3 linked regions of the Drosophila melanogaster genome follow. Changing the gene in region 2 together with the main gene of any one other region gives a genetic interaction. Each region holds a gene or a part of one and is shown on either strand. Other genes may lie near its edges.

What was found. Genes that interact genetically often act in the same process or in processes that back each other up.
Region 1: of Tak1 (region 2) and slpr, changing one enhances a phenotype caused by changing the other (phenotypic enhancement), as found in Drosophila melanogaster (2 studies listed by BioGRID).
Region 3: of Tak1 (region 2) and egr, changing one suppresses a phenotype caused by changing the other (phenotypic suppression), as found in Drosophila melanogaster (7 studies listed by BioGRID).

What each region holds. Positions count from the first base shown.
Region 1 is NC_004354.4:8,171,150-8,178,983, forward strand, and holds the start of slpr (slipper), read right to left. Parts: upstream 6,037-7,834; 5' UTR 5,404-6,036; intron 5,306-5,403; 5' UTR 5,145-5,305; coding exon 4,866-5,144; intron 4,806-4,865; coding exon 4,153-4,805; intron 4,087-4,152; coding exon 3,920-4,086; intron 3,850-3,919; coding exon 3,674-3,849; intron 3,419-3,673; coding exon 3,398-3,418; intron 3,066-3,397; coding exon 2,889-3,065; intron 2,827-2,888; coding exon 2,712-2,826; intron 2,313-2,711; coding exon 433-2,312; 3' UTR 1-432. UniProt on the Drosophila melanogaster protein: Activates the JUN N-terminal pathway during dorsal closure.
Region 2 is NC_004354.4:20,521,923-20,526,546, reverse strand, and holds the start of Tak1 (TGF-beta activated kinase 1), read left to right. Parts: upstream 1-1,618; 5' UTR 1,619-2,579; coding exon 2,580-2,648; intron 2,649-3,188; coding exon 3,189-3,488; intron 3,489-3,726; coding exon 3,727-4,042; intron 4,043-4,101; coding exon 4,102-4,283; intron 4,284-4,505; coding exon 4,506-4,624. UniProt on the Drosophila melanogaster protein: Component of a protein kinase signal transduction cascade. Mediator of TGF-beta signal transduction. Responsible for activation of the JNK MAPK pathway (basket, bsk and hemipterous, hep) in response to LPS.
Region 3 is NT_033778.4:10,076,510-10,084,401, forward strand, and holds egr (eiger), read left to right. Parts: upstream 1-1,856; 5' UTR 1,857-2,502; coding exon 2,503-2,673; intron 2,674-4,103; exon of another isoform or gene 4,104-4,185; intron 4,186-4,278; exon of another isoform or gene 4,279-4,415; intron 4,416-4,678; exon of another isoform or gene 4,679-4,816; intron 4,817-4,997; coding exon 4,998-5,123; intron 5,124-5,743; exon of another isoform or gene 5,744-5,813; intron 5,814-6,132; coding exon 6,133-6,458; intron 6,459-6,520; coding exon 6,521-6,625; intron 6,626-6,752; coding exon 6,753-6,817; intron 6,818-6,894; coding exon 6,895-6,984; intron 6,985-7,064; coding exon 7,065-7,429; 3' UTR 7,430-7,701; downstream 7,702-7,892.

The sequences.
Region 1 (7,834 bases), about 12 Mb from region 2:
CCTCAAAAGTTCGTCCTCACTTCTGTGCTACACATTGCAATTTTCTAGCCACTCCTCTGGCACAAAAAAAAAAACAAAACAAATCACTGGACTAATTAGGGATTAACTTGATTTGTGAATTTCGCACAACATATTGCATTCGTTAGGAACAATTCGGTTATTATGAAATGCCAACCGCGGACAGAGGGGTTTTTTGTTTAGTTCTATGATTTCGTTAGACGGAAAGAATTCGGATAGGTATCTGTATCTCTGGGCCCTACTAATTTCACACATTAGCTATGGCTAATCCTCGCCTGCTGTTTCATCTCTTCGCTCTTCCTTTGCGTCTGACTTAGTCTACAGTTTTAATATAAAACAATGAGCTAATTAGGCGGTTCTCATCTGGCGGCCAACTCCAACAGCAACACTGCAGCACGGCGCACAACTGGGACTTTAGCATCGCTCCAGTTGCTCGCAGGATTGCGTCTGCGGCTTTTTGCCTTTGCGCTTCAAAGAGCGACTGCTGCCCCCCATCGCCAAATCGGTTTGATAGGGATCAATGGCACAGAACTCGGGTCCACCGACCATGTTGTGCTCCGCCAGCTTGCTGTACTTCTTTCGCGAGCGCGTAAAGAGATTGAAAAGGGCACGGATTTTGCTCGATCCAGCCGAGTGATGCTGGTGCTGGGGATCATTGTGGTCATCATGTTCATGGTGCTGTCCCTCGACTGGCGCCTCAACAGACTTGGATTTGGTTATGTGCTTGGGCCGTTGCTTCTTTTGGTTCTTGGTCTGCTGGCGCTGTTCCTGGGCCCGCAGCTTAATGACATCGGGATGCGGCTGAACATCTTGCATCCGACGCGTATTCAGTATGGAGTTCTCCTGCATGTGATAGCCGTTCACGGCTTCCGTAGAAGCAATGGACGGTGAGGCGGACGCAGTGGTGGACGATGAGGACAGCGATGGCGAGGCGGAGCGGTAGGTGGCGAAGCTAATTGAGGCACTGGATGTATATAGATCCGATCTGGCAGTCGTTCGCGGCGTGGCCACAAAATCGGGCTCTTCGAAACTGACGCTCTGGAAGGTCACTGAACTCTTGCGCGACGTGGTGGAGTTCTGGCGCATCTGACTGGCGGGCACTTGACACTCATCGTCGGCATCCGCATCTGCTGTGTCCACCTCCGCCGCCACCGCGTCCTCATCCTCTGCTTCCCCTTCCTCCTCCTGCCTGGTGAAGAAGCAGTGCCGTGGAAACTGCGAGCCGGAAAAGTTACGCTGAAAGCGTCCACCCTCGAAGGCCTCCTCCGCATCATCGCAATCCCTGGCAGTCAGCGGTGTGCTGGAGTTGTACATGGTCAGGTCGCCACTGGATTTGGAGTTTACCCTTTCGCTGCTGGCCATGGACATCTTTTTGATCACATCCCGATAGAAGGCATGGTCATACGTATTGTTATCCTCCGATGGCAGAGTTAACTGGTTGGGCAGTGCAAAGCTATTGCTACCGTTCGCAGGCGGATGATGACTGCTGCTGTCCAGCGAATGCTTCTTTCTGCCCACAGCTGGACTGTTGCCCAGACTGCCGCCAAAGCGATGCAGATGCACGGCACCACTGGCCGCCGATGAATTGCCGGACTTCAGGAAGTGAAAGCAACCGGTCGGACTGGCAACGGTGTCCGTTTCCGAGCTGTCATCCGTTACCAAATAGAGTGGTGGTGGCTGATAAGCAAGCGGATGATCAAGTCCGTACTCCTGGCTCCTGGCGCGATGGTAGATCTTGGCTGGGGATTGACTGGTGGTGCTGCTGTTGGAGTTGTTCCGGCCGTTTTGGAGGACAATTATCGTGTTCGGTTGGGAGGTCAGGTTAGTTTGATTGTTATTGTTATTGCTATTAATAGTACTAATATTATTTAGCTGATTGTTGTTGTTGGCGGAGATGCTGTTGTTGTTGTTGTTGTTGTTGTTGGTGGTTGTGGTGGTGGTAGTTGTGATGGTGGTGGTGATGGCTTTACAATTGCCAATGTTGTTGTTGTTGGGGCGCGTTAGTATAATGGGTATACCTGGGTACAACAATGGTGTGGCCGGCGTCCCACCAGCGCCTCCACTTCCACCCAAAATTCCCAAACCCGGCGGCGGTGTCAGCGAGGCCACCTGTTGCTGGTTCTGCTGCTGCTGCTTCTTGTCCAGATTCGGAGCACTCTTGCTGAATGAGGAGTGAGTTGAGGTCTGGGCGGGCCATTCCGGCTGACCGCCGCTCAGTTGCGAAGGCAATAGGGATCGCTCCCGCTGGTGCATCGTCGACGGGCCCCACGTCTTGCCCTTGTGCCCATCGGTCACTGATTCACCCCAATGTCATCAAAATAATACGGAACATAAGAACATAACGAAGAAACCAAAGGCAAATCAATAAAATATACAAAAATTAATTCAAAAATAATGATAACAAAAATATGCAAATAATCTAGTTCAATTTGTCCAACGATACGAGGTGGTATCTTACATTCCCATGGCCATGACGTCTAGTCTCCTGTTCTAATTTTGGGTCTACTTAATGCCTAATCTTATCTCAAAGACCTGCATAATGCACTGAATTCTCATCAGAGACATACGTACATAGAGTTAAGTCTAACAAATATACCATAAAACCATGATTGAAAAGTATAATTCATCATAGGACTGTACTATATATAATACCCTCAAATTAATCAGATCTCTGGGATAGACAAAGTACTCACGTGCCACGATGCGCAATCCGGAGAAGGAAGGTGATCCCGGCTGTTCCGCCTTGTCGCGTACAGCCGTAATCGTGTGCCGGAAGCCCGTGGGCAGCGATATCTGCAGTGGTTTGTTCTAAAAGATAGATATAAGATATGTTATGCAAGATTTTTTTTTGGCTAATTTGACTCACATACCTTTTTGCCCTTTTTGTGTTTGCGTTTCGATGGCACCGGCTGCAACATGACAAGCTCCCGTTCGATCAACACTCTTTCACGCTCGCGCAGATTCTGCTCCCGGATCTTCAGGAGATTCGCCTTTTCGCGCTGCTCGTTTTGCACCCTGAGCAGCTGCTCTTCCTTGTTGCGCAGTTCCTGTCGGGATTAAAAGGGATAACATGGTGGAACGTGGCGGGTTAGTGTGGGCTAAGCATGATCACTGTACACGGGGACATGTGCTAGAAAATAGCATTAACTAGGAACTAGAAACCATGCAGCTGTTGGCTTGTGTGCGGCTCTATCGTGGGAGTTATCCAGCCAATAATAAAAAAAAAACAGGATAACTTTGGGTAAAATAGAATAGAGTAAAGTAATGTAGAATAGAGTAAAGTAATGTAACGAAACGAAACGAAACAACAGAACGAAACGCAACGCAACGCAATTGAAACGCAAACGGCGGGCAAGAGAAACCTGTTGGACGCGCTTACCTCTTCGATGGTTTGGAAACGCTTAACGTCGTTGGATGTTTTATTGTAAAACAAGGGAATTTTGTATTGTTTTGTTTTGGAGAGAGAGTATATACCAAATTATTAGAATTTCATCAACAACGACCAAGTGGGAGAAAGAGGGGAACGACTATGGAAGAACTGAAGGGCGCGGCGTAAGGCCAACAAGGAACGGTCTAGAAACGATCTAGAGCAACTCAAACAGGTAGGGGGAGTTTATATTTTCAGTTTGCCTGGCGTTTTCCAGACAGTTGGTACCTTTTCTTTTTCGCGCAAATCGTGTAGCACTCCAGCGATCTCCTTTCGCCAGCATTCCTGCATGTAGTGAAACGACTCCTGGGGCGTTAGGGTGAATTTGGAGCATGCGATGCTCTCCAGCTGTTTGAGAATCTCCTTGAAGCCCGGTCGCTTGTGCGGATCCGTTTGCCAGCAGCCTGCGGGATTTGGACATAATGAAATATTACAATAATATGTATAGGATCATTGTCTATTGCGTTCACTTACTCTTCATCAGGGCTCCCCACGTCTCGGGGCAGGTTTTTGGTATGGGCAATGTCAGCGTGTTAACAGCCACGCCATAGGCCACGGACAACGGATCGAAGCCCTTGTAGGGCGTCTCGCCCGTTATCAGTTCCCACAGCAAGACACCGTAGCTCCAAACATCGGAGAATCTGGCGGGTAAGGAGTTTTGTTAGTTAGGAAGACAGACGACAGAGTGTGAGAGAAATGGAGCTCACTTGGAATAGGTGCTAACGCTGATGACCTCCGGTGGCATCCAAGCGTACGTGCCCGCCGCACTCATCCTCTGCGTGTTGTACATCTCCCTGGCCAAACCGAAATCCGTGATCTTGAGCGTCTTCTGCTGCAGATGATTGCCCTCGATGGCCTCGTAGATCAGCACATTGGAGGACTTGAGGTCGCGATGTATGATCGACATGGGCGCCTCATTGTGCAGATAGTTCATGCCTCTGGCTATCTGAATGGCCCAGTTGACTAGTACATCGGGTGGTATCTTGCCAGCCAGTATGCGATTGAGACTTCCTCCCCTGGCATACTCCATCACCAGACAGAGTTTGGTATTCAGACATACTCCTCGCAGGGCTGCTATATTTTCGTGCTTGAGGGCCCAAAACAGTTTGGCCTCCTGCAGGACATTGTCCCGCATCCTCTGCATATCATCCTCGCCCGTTTGATGGGCAATCTTAATAGCCACCTCCTCGCCATCGTAGTAGCCACGATGGACCTTGCAGAAGCCACCGGAGCCGATAACTTCCTTGATGTCCAGCTCATTGTATTCGATCTCATGCGGCTGGATGTCGCCAATGGCGGACGAGACATTCAGTTGCAGTGGGTCCTCATCGGTGACAAAGTCCTTGGGAAAGACACCGACCTGCAGGAGAAAGATTGGGGTTTAGTTCAATGGTTCATTGTTAGAAAGGTAATCAATCACCTTATCTCCAATCTTGCCGGTCCACCAGCCCACATCGCCAGACACCTCGCTGTCCGTGGACAGGACCACAACGATTTCGCCGCGTCGCAGTGTCAGCTCATCCTCGCCCTGGGCATCGTAGTCATACAGCGCGGTCCACAGGCTGCCATCGCCCACCTGGGTCTCGACTTGCTCTAGATCTGGTATGGGAATCTCTGGTATCTGCGGATGATGCAGTTGCTCTAACTGCTGCTGCTGCTGCTGCTGTTGCAGCTGCTGCTCCTCGCTGATCGGCAGCATGTTGGTGGTGTCCAATCCTCGGGAGACCTGCGAGGGCATCAGAGGCGCACAGTTGGCGACATGGAAACCATGAATCTCTTCTTTGTTTTTGTTTTCTGCTTCTTTTCCTTTTTTGTTGTTTTCTCTTTGCTTCCTTCGCTTTTTAACTTGCTTTTGTTTCGCTGTGTGTGAAAGAGAGATAAAACCGCAAAAGGGGCGAAGAAGAAGCAGCAGCTTAGTAATATTTGTTGCCAAAGGGGGTGGGGTGGGGTCAGCTTACGGGTAAGGATGTTGCGGCTAATCCTGCTCTCCTGCCCACCGGATTCGGATTCTCCACTCTCCTTGTGTCCCACTGTCCGTCCGTCTGTCCGTCCGTTGACCACACGCACAAGAGCAAAAACAATAGCAACAGCGAGAACAACAATCACAACAACAACGGCACACAATCAGACAACACGGTACAAAACACACACACACGCACACGCGCTGCTGCACACCATGGTCGCTCTCTCGCAGTCGCAGTCGCCGTTAACGTCGTCGGTTATTTTGATCTATCCTTGATCCTGTGCAATCGGTTATATCCGTTTTATTAGCCCGTTTCTGCATATGTTTTTTAAACACATATGTATTAAAAAAAAAAAACTAGAGTTGCACTGTTCAAATGTGAACTAGTTTAATTGAACTGGTCTTTGGACCCAGCCGAGTGAACTGGTTACATTTGCGGTTCACCTGGGATTTTGGTTCCAGTTCGTTGGCATAATTTTAACTAAAATTGTGATCAAGGTAGTTGTTTAAATACCTTTATATTGGTAATTGTTAATATTTGTGGTAGAACAAGGTTTTGTCGATCATTTTGTTGTGGCTCACATAAACCAGTTGCTGCATTTATACTAGTTCCATTCGCAAATGTACTAAAAAATGCCATCAAAACGGTGTTGGGCAACGCAAAATATTTGGTATTTCAAAATACCTTATTCAGTATTTTCAATATTGGTATTTATCATGTCGATTATTTTATTGACCGTTAATATTCAAATTTGAAATGTGCTTGAAATGTAAAAATTTTAGTATTTAAATCCTATTAACATACATGCAAAACTCAAAAGCATTGTTGATGTGTAAATTTAAATTAACTGAATTTAAAGTACCGTAAACCAGAACGATTGCATTAATTGAACTTCTTCAGTTTTTAACAACTTAACAACTTAATATTTAATCGAATAAATAATTGAACTTAGTCGTTATCAATGCAAACTGAAAATTATGCTACCATCAATGGGGCTATTGTAACACTTGCATTCATTTAAAACTATTAAAGATTGAATATATCGAATGTCATGCACTTCGATTAAATCACATAATGTGAAATAATTATTTAAAATCACGTTTCAAATGGAATGTCGCTGTCATATGTTTTCCGTTTTGATATTCGGCTATTTCGTGATGCGCATGATTTTTGCAGAGAAGTCGGGGAAATCCATGGAAAAGGGGGGCTTACAGCTGCTGCTGCTGCTGCTGCTGCTTTGGCCGCTTTGGCTGTTTGGCCTGTTTTGCCGATGCGGATATGGCCTGATGATGTTGCTGTTGCATCGCGGAACGGAACGCTGTGTATACTGTGTATCCTCACTACCAACACCACCAACCCCCCACCCACGCCACTGACTCTCTCGTCGGGCGCCCAACACGCGCCCTTGTGTGGGTGGTGGGTGGTGTGTATTGGGTCGGTGGTGGGTGTTAGTGGCTTGTGGATGCTGGGTGGCCTAGTCCATGCCATGTGTTTAGTAAGTCCCCTCCCTCTGCTACGCTCCCTTGAAAAGTTCGGCGGCGCTCGTGTCCTTTCGGCTGCGACGCTGCGCCGTTCATCCTTTTGGTCCAGCGTCGGCATCGCACAGTGGAATGGAATGCTAATCAATCGCTCAAAAACCATAAAAATATGACATTTTAAAGAGTTAAGCCGATAATTTAAAACAATAATTAACTAATTGGTTGTAATTTAGTGTATTTTATGCATCTCAACATCTTTATACACATGTTTATGATATTTCAAGGTTTTATTGCTAAAAAATGTACAAGCAGCGAGTGCTAGAAACATAGCGTAGATAATTTTCTTCACATTTATGTTGCACAAATATTGTAATATTATTAACCAATTTTGAACATCTAATTATGGTCCGATTGGGCCCACTGTGCTTCGGCAACAGAGCGACTCGTGCCGAGCCGATGGAAACCGAAACGAAACCGGGCTGCTGGCTGATGTGGCGCTACATCCGCAACTCCCGTAGTCGTAGTGACAGCCTTTGCCGGATCCGGAGCCAGGAGCAGAGCGGCGCAGGACACTACGGCCCAGGACCAGGACCTGTACCGCTGGGCAAACGCCACTCGCTTCGCCCGGAGAGGAGAGCAGTCTCGGCAGTGGTCGGCGAGGCTGTGTGCCAGCATCACCAGCAGCAGCAGCGGCAGCGGCAGCGGCAGCAGCAGAAGTGGCAGCAGCAACGGCGGCAGCACCAGGCTGTGCCACTCAGTTACGCGCAACATTTCAACGCAACGTCGTGGCAATTCCAAATCGGCGGCAGACGCGGGCGTGCGCAGCGCACGGGCGGATTGCACGTAATAAATCCTCCGGAACGGGCTAAAAATACGGCAAACGCAACTAATCACACACAATAGAAACCGAAAAGAGAGCTAACTCTTCGCTAAGAAAATCGTAAATT
Region 2 (4,624 bases):
GATGTTACGGTTGTGATGTACTCGGTGTACATGAGGCAAAAAGATGTTGTGCTAAGTCCATGTCGTTCTTTGTTGCGTGGCCTGGGCAAGGCGGCCACGTTGCCTCTGGGAGTTTTCGCTGGAGATGTTCAAATAGACGATATGGAGACTGTTCAAAACTTCATCGTGGTGGCGGATGAAAAAATGGAAGGTGATGGAAGTGCATTGGATACGATTTTCTATCGAAGTTTCAATTTACACTGGATGTAAATGGGTTTACGTTTTGTGTCGTTATCAGCTTGGCCTGAGGTAGCTAACATTAACCAGATAAGTATTCACGATTATGTTTGCACTGAAAGTAATGTGAATGCTCCTCCCCAATTTGCACCTATGATACGGAAGCTGATAGACGAATATCATCCAACCTCCAATTGTGCCGGATGAGAAAATTAAGACGTTTCGTCATCAACCAAGTCGACATCCGCCAGTTAAAGCCAAAGCCGTTAAAAAACAAGTCGATGACTGGTTAAAAGAAGAAATCGATTGACCATCTACTTCAAGCTTCGCCAGTAGAACTGTCGTAGTGAAGAAAAAAGTACGGCACTTACAGAATCTGTATAGGACTATCGCCAATTAAACAGCATGGTTCTCAAGGATTGCTTCCCTGTGTCGATTTCCTGCAATTCTACTGCGGCATTTATAAGATTTATAAACCACATATTCCCGAGACATTCTACAACTCTATATGGATGATATTATAATATATGGACAGACGAATGACGAATGTATTAAGAAACTAAAGTTGGTGCTATTAGAATCAGCGAAGTTCGGCTTACGTATAAAGTGAAAGAAATGTCATTTCATACGCACGATATTGGAAGAACGACCTTACAATGACCTTAAACTGAAGGGAGGAGTTTTATTCATGTTTGTCAAAGGAAATGATTTGCTTATTGTACCTAAAATAATCGAACGTAAGATTATAAACGAAGCTCATGGATTCGGACATTATGCAAACCAGAACAAACCGTACATTCTATACAACAGCAGTTTTGGATTCCACACCTAGAGAGCAAGGTCGAAAAGCTTATAGACGCGTGTATTCCGTGTATTATTACGAACAAAAAGCTGGGCAAACAGGATGGACTTTTATGATGCATTGAGAAAGGTGACAAGCCGTTACACAATATAAGTACATCTTCGCACTTGTTGGTGGATTTTTGAAATTCGTGTGGATTTTTACTACAAAATGTCTTAACAACAACTGGAGTTGCCAGAGGAAATGGGCGGGTAGAGAGAATTAAATAGATCTATCTTATCGTTTTAAAAATACAACAACGATTGAAAACTCTCGAAATGGGATGTACTGGCGCCATCTATCGGAGGTAATAGGTACCCCGAGACGCATGCAAAGCGCCAGAGGGCGACACAGCTCCTCTGACGAGATGGCATCACTATTTTTATTGGGAGTATTGGTATCTCGGGTGTAAAAATTAAATTGATGCCTAATTTTTGAAAATATGTCACACAAATAATAAGTATCTTTTAAGTGGATAGATCCATTGATGTCGCTGGAATTAAAAATACAAATACCAATGTTATCGTTATCGGCGAGTCCACACTGTGCTAGGCAAAAATATCGACGTACCTTGCGCCCGATATCTGGCACTAATGTATCGATGACGGTCTTGTTAAATTATTAAAAAAAAAACAAGTTTGTACTTGAAAAGTACGGCGTATATCTACAGCGAAGAACGCAAGAACCCGCCAAGGCAGCGTCCGATGCAGACGCCATCTGTTCAAGCATTGAGCCCGGAATCCGGAGGAATCCCGGCCAGGATGTGATGTGCGCACTGGGCCCTCTCCGCTGGTCGATATAAACTCGTGCCCCCCTCTTCTAGCCACCTTCTTGCTGTCAACCGCCTGCTCATTCTACCCCACAGTTCCAGTCCCAGTCCTGCACAGCAATCATCTTCGCCTGGAGAAGTCTACCGGTAGCACGAGTGGTGGAACCAGGCAGACTACAAAGGACACGGAGACCGCGGTGTCTGGGAAATCGGCTGAGCACGGAAACCGATCCACTAGGGTTGGCATCACGCACCACTTTGTCCAGGAACCTGCAGCTGAGGAATCTAGATAACATCTGAAGTCTCCTGGGAACTGCGAAACACACCATATCTTAGCAAAATGACGTGGTAAAAGTTGTCAGTCGCAATCTATACAAAGGCAAGAAACTTTATGATGAATCCAGGTCTAGATCTTGCAAAGATTCCGAAAACTCTGTCCCCAAGAGGGAACCAAAGGCACAGTTAGCCAGCAATGAAATCGGGAACCCACGGAATCGTAGCCACTAAAAAGGCGAAATCCCGGTAATTCTACCAAAATAGCGCACCACCTGGACACCATAGAAGAGAGCCTTAAGGCAAGGAATCGGTGGCATACTTGGACAGTTGAAGAGAACTTTAAATCTGGTAATCAGCGGCGCCAAATGCAACTGCAACTGGTAAACTAGTACTCATTTGTAAGCCAAAACACTGACAAACAAAAGCTGCATCTGAAAAGCAAGTAGAGAACACCAGGATACTTAGCGTTCCACGGAGATGGCCACAGCATCGCTGGACGCACTGCAGGCAGCCTATGTGGACTTCAGTGAGATAACACTAAGAGAGGTGTGCATACCAAACGGAATATACCCAAAGTCTAGAGCTCCTATTGGTGTATACGTATACGCAATCTTGAAACGATAAACAACCAGTAATCATATACCATTTAGGGCAGAGCAAGTACTCATTCTTAGTTAGTCAGACGATTATCGCACTTTCAAAAAGCATGTTTTAATCTATAAACGGTTATTTTTTCGTTTTAAAAGTGTATGCTTTGTAACAGCTCTGTTAAAAAACCCAAGAAAGGTTTTATATTTTAAACTTACGCATTCCTAAATGCTTACATTCGTTTTAGGATTTCGTTTCAAACTTATTAAAACAAACTACAGACTGTATACAAATATCAGCATATTTATTAACGATACGATCTTATCAGTTTGATAAGAAACGAATTTCAAATTTACCCATCACAATGCGTTCGTGTGTTCTACTTGAAGTCAATTCAAACTGTGTTAGACCAAGGTGTATAACGTAATTAGTATTGAGGAGTTTTGCACAAGGAGGGTACAACTGTTGAATCAGATCTAATAATCTTTTTCCCCGCAGAAAGTCGGCCATGGGTCCTACGGAGTGGTCTGCAAGGCCGTTTGGCGCGACAAGCTGGTTGCCGTCAAGGAGTTCTTCGCCAGCGCCGAGCAGAAGGACATCGAGAAGGAGGTGAAGCAGTTGTCGCGCGTGAAGCACCCGAACATCATCGCTCTGCACGGGATATCCTCGTACCAGCAGGCCACCTACCTGATAATGGAGTTCGCCGAAGGTGGATCGCTGCACAACTTCCTTCACGGCAAGGTGAAGCCGGCATATTCTCTGGCCCACGCCATGAGCTGGGCGCGCCAATGTGCAGAGGTAGGTCGTCGTCGAGGGGCGGGGCGGTTATAACGTAGGGCTCAACCCCGTAGCGCTTTCCATCCAATTCGTTGAAATTATCTGGTGAAATAATGACTCAAATGGATTGTGGTAATTCACATTGCTTGCATGATTACTTAAACAATTTCAATAGCTATTCCGCATAACCAGAATTAAAATAATAGTAATTTGTTTAAAGTTTAGCCCTAATTACATTTCCATTTGTTTTCCTCTCTAGGGTCTGGCATATTTGCATGCCATGACGCCAAAACCACTAATACATCGCGACGTGAAGCCGCTGAACCTGCTCTTGACCAACAAGGGACGCAATCTGAAGATATGCGACTTCGGCACGGTGGCGGACAAGTCGACCATGATGACCAACAATCGCGGCAGTGCCGCTTGGATGGCGCCCGAGGTCTTCGAAGGCTCCAAGTATACGGAGAAGTGTGACATTTTTAGCTGGGCCATTGTTCTATGGGAGGTTCTGTCCAGGAAGCAGCCCTTTAAAGGCATCGACAATGCCTACACCATCCAGTGGAAGATCTACAAGGGTGCGTCCTCCAATTCACTCTTTTTCCATCGAGCTTATCGAGATCTGTGCTCCTCGCAGGTGAACGCCCGCCGCTGCTGACCACTTGCCCCAAGCGCATCGAGGACCTGATGACCGCCTGCTGGAAAACGGTGCCCGAGGATCGCCCGTCGATGCAGTACATAGTGGGCGTTATGCACGAGATCGTCAAGGACTATACGGGGGCGGACAAGGCCCTGGAATACACGTTTGTTAATCAACAGGTGAGACAGCTTTATTGGGTCAATACACAATTGTAAAAGAGTCAATTGGTGTTTTTATCTATTGAGGAAAGCGTTCTTTTACTCTGCCCGTCTTTAAAACCTAATTTAAATTCGATATTGTTTGGCACTAAATGCAATCATTACCCTATACGGATAACATCACTTTTGCGTTATTTTCCTTTGCCACACATTGCTAACTCTTGATCCTTGAACTGCTCGCAGATTGTCACCAAAGAGAGCGACGGCACGGTGGCCGCTCAACCGGATAGCCTCAGTTCGCAGGAGGGGGAACTGAGCCCCTCGTCCACACAGTTAACACCGACAACGGCGGCCAACGCCAA
Region 3 (7,892 bases), on a different chromosome or scaffold from region 2:
TGGGGGGAGAATATGTGTAATGGCATGACTGGGTGTCTGTACTGTAGCTAAGTCAATTGCCCGGCATTGACTTTGAAAAATCGCCTCGAGATCGTCTTGCTTCTTGGCCGTGCTCCATTAAGTGAGGCTGATGGTTAACCCTCTGTGCAAGCACGTGATATATCTAGATCTTACAATATCATGTACATCGACATACCAGCTCAATGCTGATATATGTACATATATGTTTGCACAGATCATTGAATCAGATTCATTAACACTGCATAAAACCAAAAAGGTCTCAGAGCTTAGATTGAAACAATTCGTCCGATTTATTCCATAATTAATTAAGCTTTTCACAACTGAATTTATATAAAACAAATGATGTAATACAAAAAAGTAAGATACAAAACACAAAAAAGTAATAGAAGCTTTTCAAAAACTATTGTATATACAAATGTACATACATATGTATATGTATATAATTTTAAATCATTGATTTACCATTTCCGAACATTGAAAATTATAAATAAAAATGTGGTCTTGCACAATGCGAAAACAGATAACGACTAATGGGTTAAGAAGTGCACCGGAAGCGTGTGCCATCCGATCCCCGCTCTTACGGCCTGAGCAGTTCTACCTGTGGTTACCTGTTTGTCGCAGACGATTAGAAACTAATTAGCTGACCAACGCCGACATTTGCATCTCTGCCGAATGACGACACTCTTGGGCGGATTTACGATACGGGTCTGTTTGGCAGCCGGTTCGGCAGACTAGTTGTCGCGACGGTGGCTGATCGGATCGGATCAGCATTAGGTTTATGGCTACCCCGCTACCCGTAATTAGAACCCGTACTTAGGCACGGCGCTGACAGACCCCGATCGTCGGTCTAAGTAATAATAAATACGATTTTAATGAAATGCTAAAAGTTCATTTGGCTTATCTATGGGTTTGTCAACGATCCGCCACTTTTCGGAACTCAATTAGCTGCGGCTCGGGAATCGAAGATCGGGGATCTGTTCCATGTCAGTGTCATGAAGGGAGCTCGAACAAAGCAGCCACACAAAGAAAATGAAGCGAAAACCCGGGGATGCGAAGCCAAGCCGCTTACAGTGGTGCCGATTTCAAAAAGCAATCGAGCAACCCCTATAAATCACAGGGGGAGGTTTTAAGTGCACATAACACATAAAAAGAAATAAAAGCAGTGGAAAACACTGCGCAAAAAGTCAAACACGCTTTGCTACTTATGATCGCCATATGTGCAAGGGAAATCGGAACCAAGTACAGTCTGTCTTGGCTAAAAACAACGATGAGATGGTCTTCAATATGGCATCCAATATTCTAAATTAGATACACTATTTTCTTCTCTTTTGATAAATGTTATTAAAGTTCGTTATTTGAGCATTTCAATTTGATATTGAAATTATGATAACATTGTTAAATTGTTAACAACTTTAGACTATATGAACTATTATTTAGTGTTATATCATATTATAAATCATATTTTTGTAAATATTTCTTATGCACACCATGATTATGAGTTTCATACAAATAATTTGTTATAATAAATAAAAATCGTATCTACATATACATATGTACATGTAAAATTGTAGAAATATAATAATTAATTTAATTCCTGTTAGCCAGAGCCCACTGTATCACCAAAACACCACCCCGGGAGAACCTTGCCAAAAATTAATTACACAAAGTAAACAGCGCAGGCGCCCTTAAGTATGCCGCGCATCCTCGCCACGTGAGCGAGGGAGACGGTGCCAATCCGTTGTCCCTCTTGCTCGCCTGCCTGCTCGAACGTGAGAAATCAAGTGCCGCTCGGTTCGTTTTCCCTCAGTTCACGCTCCCGTTCTCAGTTCAAATTCATTCTCTTTCGAATCGTCGACGCGAACGGACGTTTAAAGTGAGAAAAGAAACCGGTAAATCAGAGATCCCAAGCAAGCGCGTGCGTGCATGATAGCGAAGAAAAAAAGCTATCCGTTTCAGTTAACTACTTACCAAGATTGAATTTCGCCATCGGGCAAATTACTAAAAATACATAAGTGCAACTCGTCCACTGTGTGTTGTGTTTTTTTTTTTTTTTTTGGTTTTCGCTGTGCCTTTATCGCAAACAAGAACTGATAAAACTAGAAAATATCTTGAGAAACTTGTTTTCGCGCTTTTCTTTTGCTAATTGCCGATCGCGGAAGAGAAAAACAAGCAGTAGACAAAACAAGTGTGGTAATACAATCTGAAAAGGGCACCATCAGCAGCCCGAGGGGTTTATCTATATAGATGTCGCAGCTTATCATCTCATGCTGTCTGTGAGGTTGTTCTGTGTGCTCGTGTAGTATCTTAAATACATAGAGTGTGTTCATATAAAGTGCGACAAAGCTCGATTGGAAACAGCTGTCGAGTGCCCTTGAGTGGGTGGGCAAGATCGTCATCATCATCATCGTCGTCATTATCAACAGAATCAGCATCAGCATCTGGAGGCCCCGGTTGCTCTAAGATCCCCAGTGTTCATCAATTATGACTGCCGAGACCCTCAAGCCGTTTATAACGCCAACGAGTGCCAACGATGATGGTTTTCCGGCCAAAGCGACCAGCACGGCGACCGCCCAGCGACGCACCCGCCAGCTGATCCCCCTGGTTTTGGGGTTCATCGGTCTGGGGCTGGTCGTTGCCATTCTCGCACTAACGGTAAGTTTTCCTTCACAATCATTTACCCAATAGCAGCCCAATCAGGTATTATTGCCCATTTGGATCGACTATCGCGATTCTAAACACACCAATTAGACTCTGAACTGAATGAAATCGTACTACAAAATTTTCATTAAGATGCTATTAATTGATAACATTGCGTCTCTATCTGCCTACTTAAGATAACAAACCATGCTTAAAGATGTTTAATTAAGGTGGCACAAATCATACTTAGTATTGAAATAATTACAAATAAATAAATAGTATAACATATTTTATGTGTGTTTGAGCGTCGTACAATCTCTTCAGTCGCATTTTATGTTTTTAATGTTTTTTAGCACACTAAAATCGTCAAATGTGCTGAATAGATTTAGTTAATGAATATAATTTGAAAAAGATTAAAGTAGTCACCTCCAAATTGAAATAGCTATTCCATACTTGAATGCCTTTTTTTTTGTTTGTTGTGTGCGATTAATGATTCGTCGGAATTCCAAAGGTGTGGGTATATCAGTTATTGGTGGGAGTTTCCCCAGAATATAGATAGGAATGAGTTGTTATGGGCTATGTTGTTTAATGATATTTTGGGCGCCAAAGTGGGCCAATCATGATTATATGGCCGTTTTAATGACTGTTTCGAAACGAGTGTAAAGGTATTACACTGATTCTTAAACTAGACTTTTGTAGAATTTGTGTTTTATTGTGTTTTTAGTGTTTTATTTTGGTAGTTTAATTTATAATTTTGCTTAGTTATCTCTCCAAAAACCATCACAACGACAGTTAGTTTTATCTGGAAAACAGATTGCACCAATAAAGTAATGAAAGCATAAAAACAGAGAGATTCCATTCAGCCATGAACCGCCTTCTAGACTCTGAACAGACTCCTATTTTTCGGAAATGTTTATTTCAGTAGCTTGCCAAAATAAAATGCGAATAAATATAAATGCAAATTGGACTTTAACAACGTATGTGTATAGACACCCCCGAAATCGCAATCTAAAAATGAATATTTAACCTTTGGCACGCTTCGGCTTATAAAGCTGTTTGTCACAAAGTCTTTGTTGATGCCAAATTAAAGACGAAATTCCGCGGATGCATAAATTGAAATGAAAACAGACTTTATGATCCGTGACCGTCGCAGATAGGTTAACTATAATTTGGCATGAAACTATATTTAGAGCGGGAAAAACGGCGGTTTCTTGGCTGATCAAGCGATGTCATCACCGACACGTCTTTAGGCCAAATCGGTTCCTAATGATCCAGCTAATCCAAATAAAGCGGATGCAGATGCTAGAGAAATGTTTATCGGTACATGTCTGTTCTTCCCTTTTGTTTTTGTTCAACCGATTTAAATGCCACTGAGTCCGTTCTGTTATGCATTCGATAAATCTTCGACTGGGTTGTTGTGTCATGTTTTTCCCTGATAACTTTGCGAATGAGTGTGCTCGCTGAAATCCGGATTTGAATTGCAGAAGATTAAGTTTGTGGACTTGAATCTGGTCCTTCTCTCCCACCCCCATTTCCCCCCCCCTCACCCAGGACTCCTCCATGACCCACTCAACTTTGGCTTAAGTGAACGGAAATCGTACAATTGACAATTGACTTGTAAATGATTGGCTTCAGCCACTGACGTGGGCCTCAAGTTCGGTTTTCCTCATAAATCTCCGTTAAGCCATGAAGCATTTTTCGTTGTTTAATTCAATTTCACTGACATTCGTACAAAGTAACCCTCATCATTTGGGGCCCTCTAAGAAAGTGACAAACTGCAGGCGCTGCGATCGATCTACTGATCGCCGATAAGCTCTAATGGAAAGTGGTTCACTGGAAACTTAAACAAGTTTCTTGGGTCTGCGTAAAGTCCATAATTTATACAAGAATTCAGTACAAGTTGTTGTGTGTACCTACATGTATGTACATGTGTATATTTCCCCGTCTGCGCGTACAGTGGCTTAAGTTGAGCCATTCTTTTCGATTTCGGCTGCCAGTCGAGACTTGAGAAGTGTCCGTATATAAGGCCTCTGCTCGGCCCGAATGTTAATGATCCATTAAGCAGATTATGTGGCTGAGTGGCGATCGTACGTACCCCGCCGTATTTCCCCACGAAATCTTTCTCGTCTCGCCTCTATCAGTTTGTTCAGTTAGTTTTTATATATTTTTCGGGTGTCAAAAGTTCGCGGCACTGGGTGTTATATGATGTGCCGGGCCTTAGCACCAGCTATAGATGTTTAATTGGGGCTACGTTAAATTGATTGCCCAATTGCTAATGAGCGGATGATTAGAAACGAGCCTGAATGAGTGTGTAACAATTGAATTATCTTATCTTGCAGATCTGGCAGACAACGCGTGTATCGCATCTGGACAAGGAGCTGAAGAGCCTGAAGCGAGTCGTCGATAATCTCCAGCAGCGTTTGGGCATAAACTATCTGGACGAGTTCGACGAGTTCCAAAAGGAGGTGAGCAATTGCGTAAATCACTTTCGAGCATCAATATTTGTACTCGGCGATGGGGCAGGGGCTGTAACATTTGCCCCGGGCAAATACAGATACCTCGAATTGTTTACAAAGTCGGAAATGATTGTTATTCCTTGAGGCTGGTACTTGAGTTTTTAATGAGGGTATATCGAACTTTTGTTATTGAGTATCTATTATGTTTAGTTTTCTTTTTGCCTAAAGGGTAATTTGCATTTTATGATGGCAAACTCTGGCTAGGGTATCTCACAGTCGGTAAGCCATGCGCCTGTTTTTGAAAAAGAATGCCTCAAAAAAATGACCAGACGTAATATGTGGTTATTGTGTGGGACATACAAAAATATTTATAGAATTATGTGCTAAAATATAATTTCGACGCTGTTTCATCTGTTATTTGTTTCATTTTTTTTTGTTAGCTGCTTGGCCAAAGGCACATAGAAAATTGTGATAGATTATTTGAATTATAATGTCTCTTTCCGCAAGGAAACACTCATTTCAAATATGAGGCGCCAGCCAGTTCACGTAATTTATGAGATACAAATCCCCAAGTGACAAAAGGTAAAAGCCCCAATAATTCAACAAAAATACTAGGCTCTATCAGTAGATATAGTCGTTCAAGGCGAGCGATCGCTTTTGGCTGTATGTGACGATTGATCGAATCTCATCAAATGGCCTAATGGCCAGAGATGGTTTTAAGATTTTAAGATTTATTTATATTTTGATGGCTGGGCATCTGTGGTGCCAATTCTCTTGAGAGTTTCCTTCGCTTTTAAATATATGTATGATGTACACAAGTATATGTATACGAGTATCATGTTTTTGAGCGAGGCGCCATCAATTAGGATGATGACGAAACAGCCTGTGCTGCGGGCGTGTGTCTAAAAATGAACGTCCCAAATGGATGTGAGATATGTGCCAGGACTGTGCCAGCTGCAGTCACGTACTTGGCCAAGTCTTCTGACCCAAAATGCTGATGCCCATCCCTTCGTTGCAGTACGAGAATGCCCTCATCGACTATCCAAAAAAGGTGGATGGCCTCACGGATGAGGAGGACGACGACGATGGCGATGGTCTGGATTCCATTGCGGACGACGAGGACGACGACGTTAGCTATAGCTCTGTGGATGATGTTGGCGCAGACTACGAGGACTACACCGATATGTTAAATAAACTCAACAATGCACATACCGGCACCACGCCCACATCTGAGACCACTGCTGAGGGCGAGGGCGAGACGGACAGTGCATCCTCAGCCTCAAATGATGACAATGTGTTCGATGACTTTACCAGCTACAATGCCCACAAAAAGAAGCAGGAGAGGTGAGCACGGATGAAATTTTCAGGGATTTATCGTATTAAGCCTCTGCTTTTCCTCTTCACAGAAAATCTCGCTCGATTGCCGATGTACGCAATGAGGAGCAGAATATTCAAGGAAATCACACAGAGCTTCAGGAAAAGTCATCCAATGAGGCAACTTCCAAAGAGAGGTAAGTAGAACGTTCCGTTGAAAACAGGCAAGAAAAACCATTAATGAAGTTATATGCTATGGGTTAAAGATAGATAGTTAACTGCGTAACTGAAACACATATGTATACATTTTCTTTTTACTTGAAGCCCTGCACCACTTCACCACCGTCGCAGAATGCATTCCCGCCATCGCCACCTCCTAGTCCGCAAAGGTGTGTAGTGTAGAAAAGCGAAACAATTGGCAAAAATCGAATACCAAATCTCTATTCGCACCTCTGTTAATTTGCAGGTGAATCTCTTCTTTCAGCCAGATCCGAGGACTCGAGGCCAGCAGCCCATTTCCACTTGAGCAGCAGGCGGCGTCACCAAGGAAGTATGGGTAAGGAGATGCTTCCGCGTCAAGCGTGTACATACAAGTACTACAGGCAACCTAATGAAGTCACTTCTTGAATTTCTCAGGCTACCATGGAGATATGTACATAGGAAATGATAACGAGAGAAACTCTTATCAGGGACACTTTCAAACGCGCGATGGCGTCTTGACGGTGACCAATACAGGCCTATATTACGTATACGCCCAGATATGCTACAACAACTCGCACGACCAGAACGGATTTATCGTCTTTCAAGGAGACACTCCATTCCTGCAGTGCTTGAACACGGTGCCCACCAACATGCCACATAAGGTGCACACCTGCCACACGAGTGGTCTGATCCACCTGGAACGAAACGAGAGGATCCATCTGAAGGACATTCACAACGATCGCAATGCAGTTCTGCGGGAGGGAAACAACCGAAGCTACTTTGGCATCTTCAAGGTGTAAATTGGAGAGATTATCCCCGGTCAGAAGATGGAATACCAGTTTAAGCTTTTGTCCCCGCGACTGCTCGTGAATGCGATTCATCGCCAGCGTGAATCCATTAGTTCGTAGTACCTAGTCTTAGTCACTCCAAACCTAATCTCAATCGGAATCGTGCATACTGCATTAGTCAGAAGACGGAGGAAAATCATATTTATTTTGTATATACTCGTTCGACTCTAAAAAGTGAATAAAAATATATGTAGCTATTACCCGCTTGTGTAAGCGTGTTTAAGAAACATCAATTGAATCAATTGCTACCAGTTGCAATTGAAAATATTATAATCTTCTAAATAATGAATATTCGTTCTTAGTATAATTCGATTCAAAATGCTTCAAATGCTTTCAATTCAAATCTCAAATGAAGAGCCATTCAAAGATATCCCTCAGCTTTATTTGTGCAATTCCAGCTTACTATGGTCTTTAT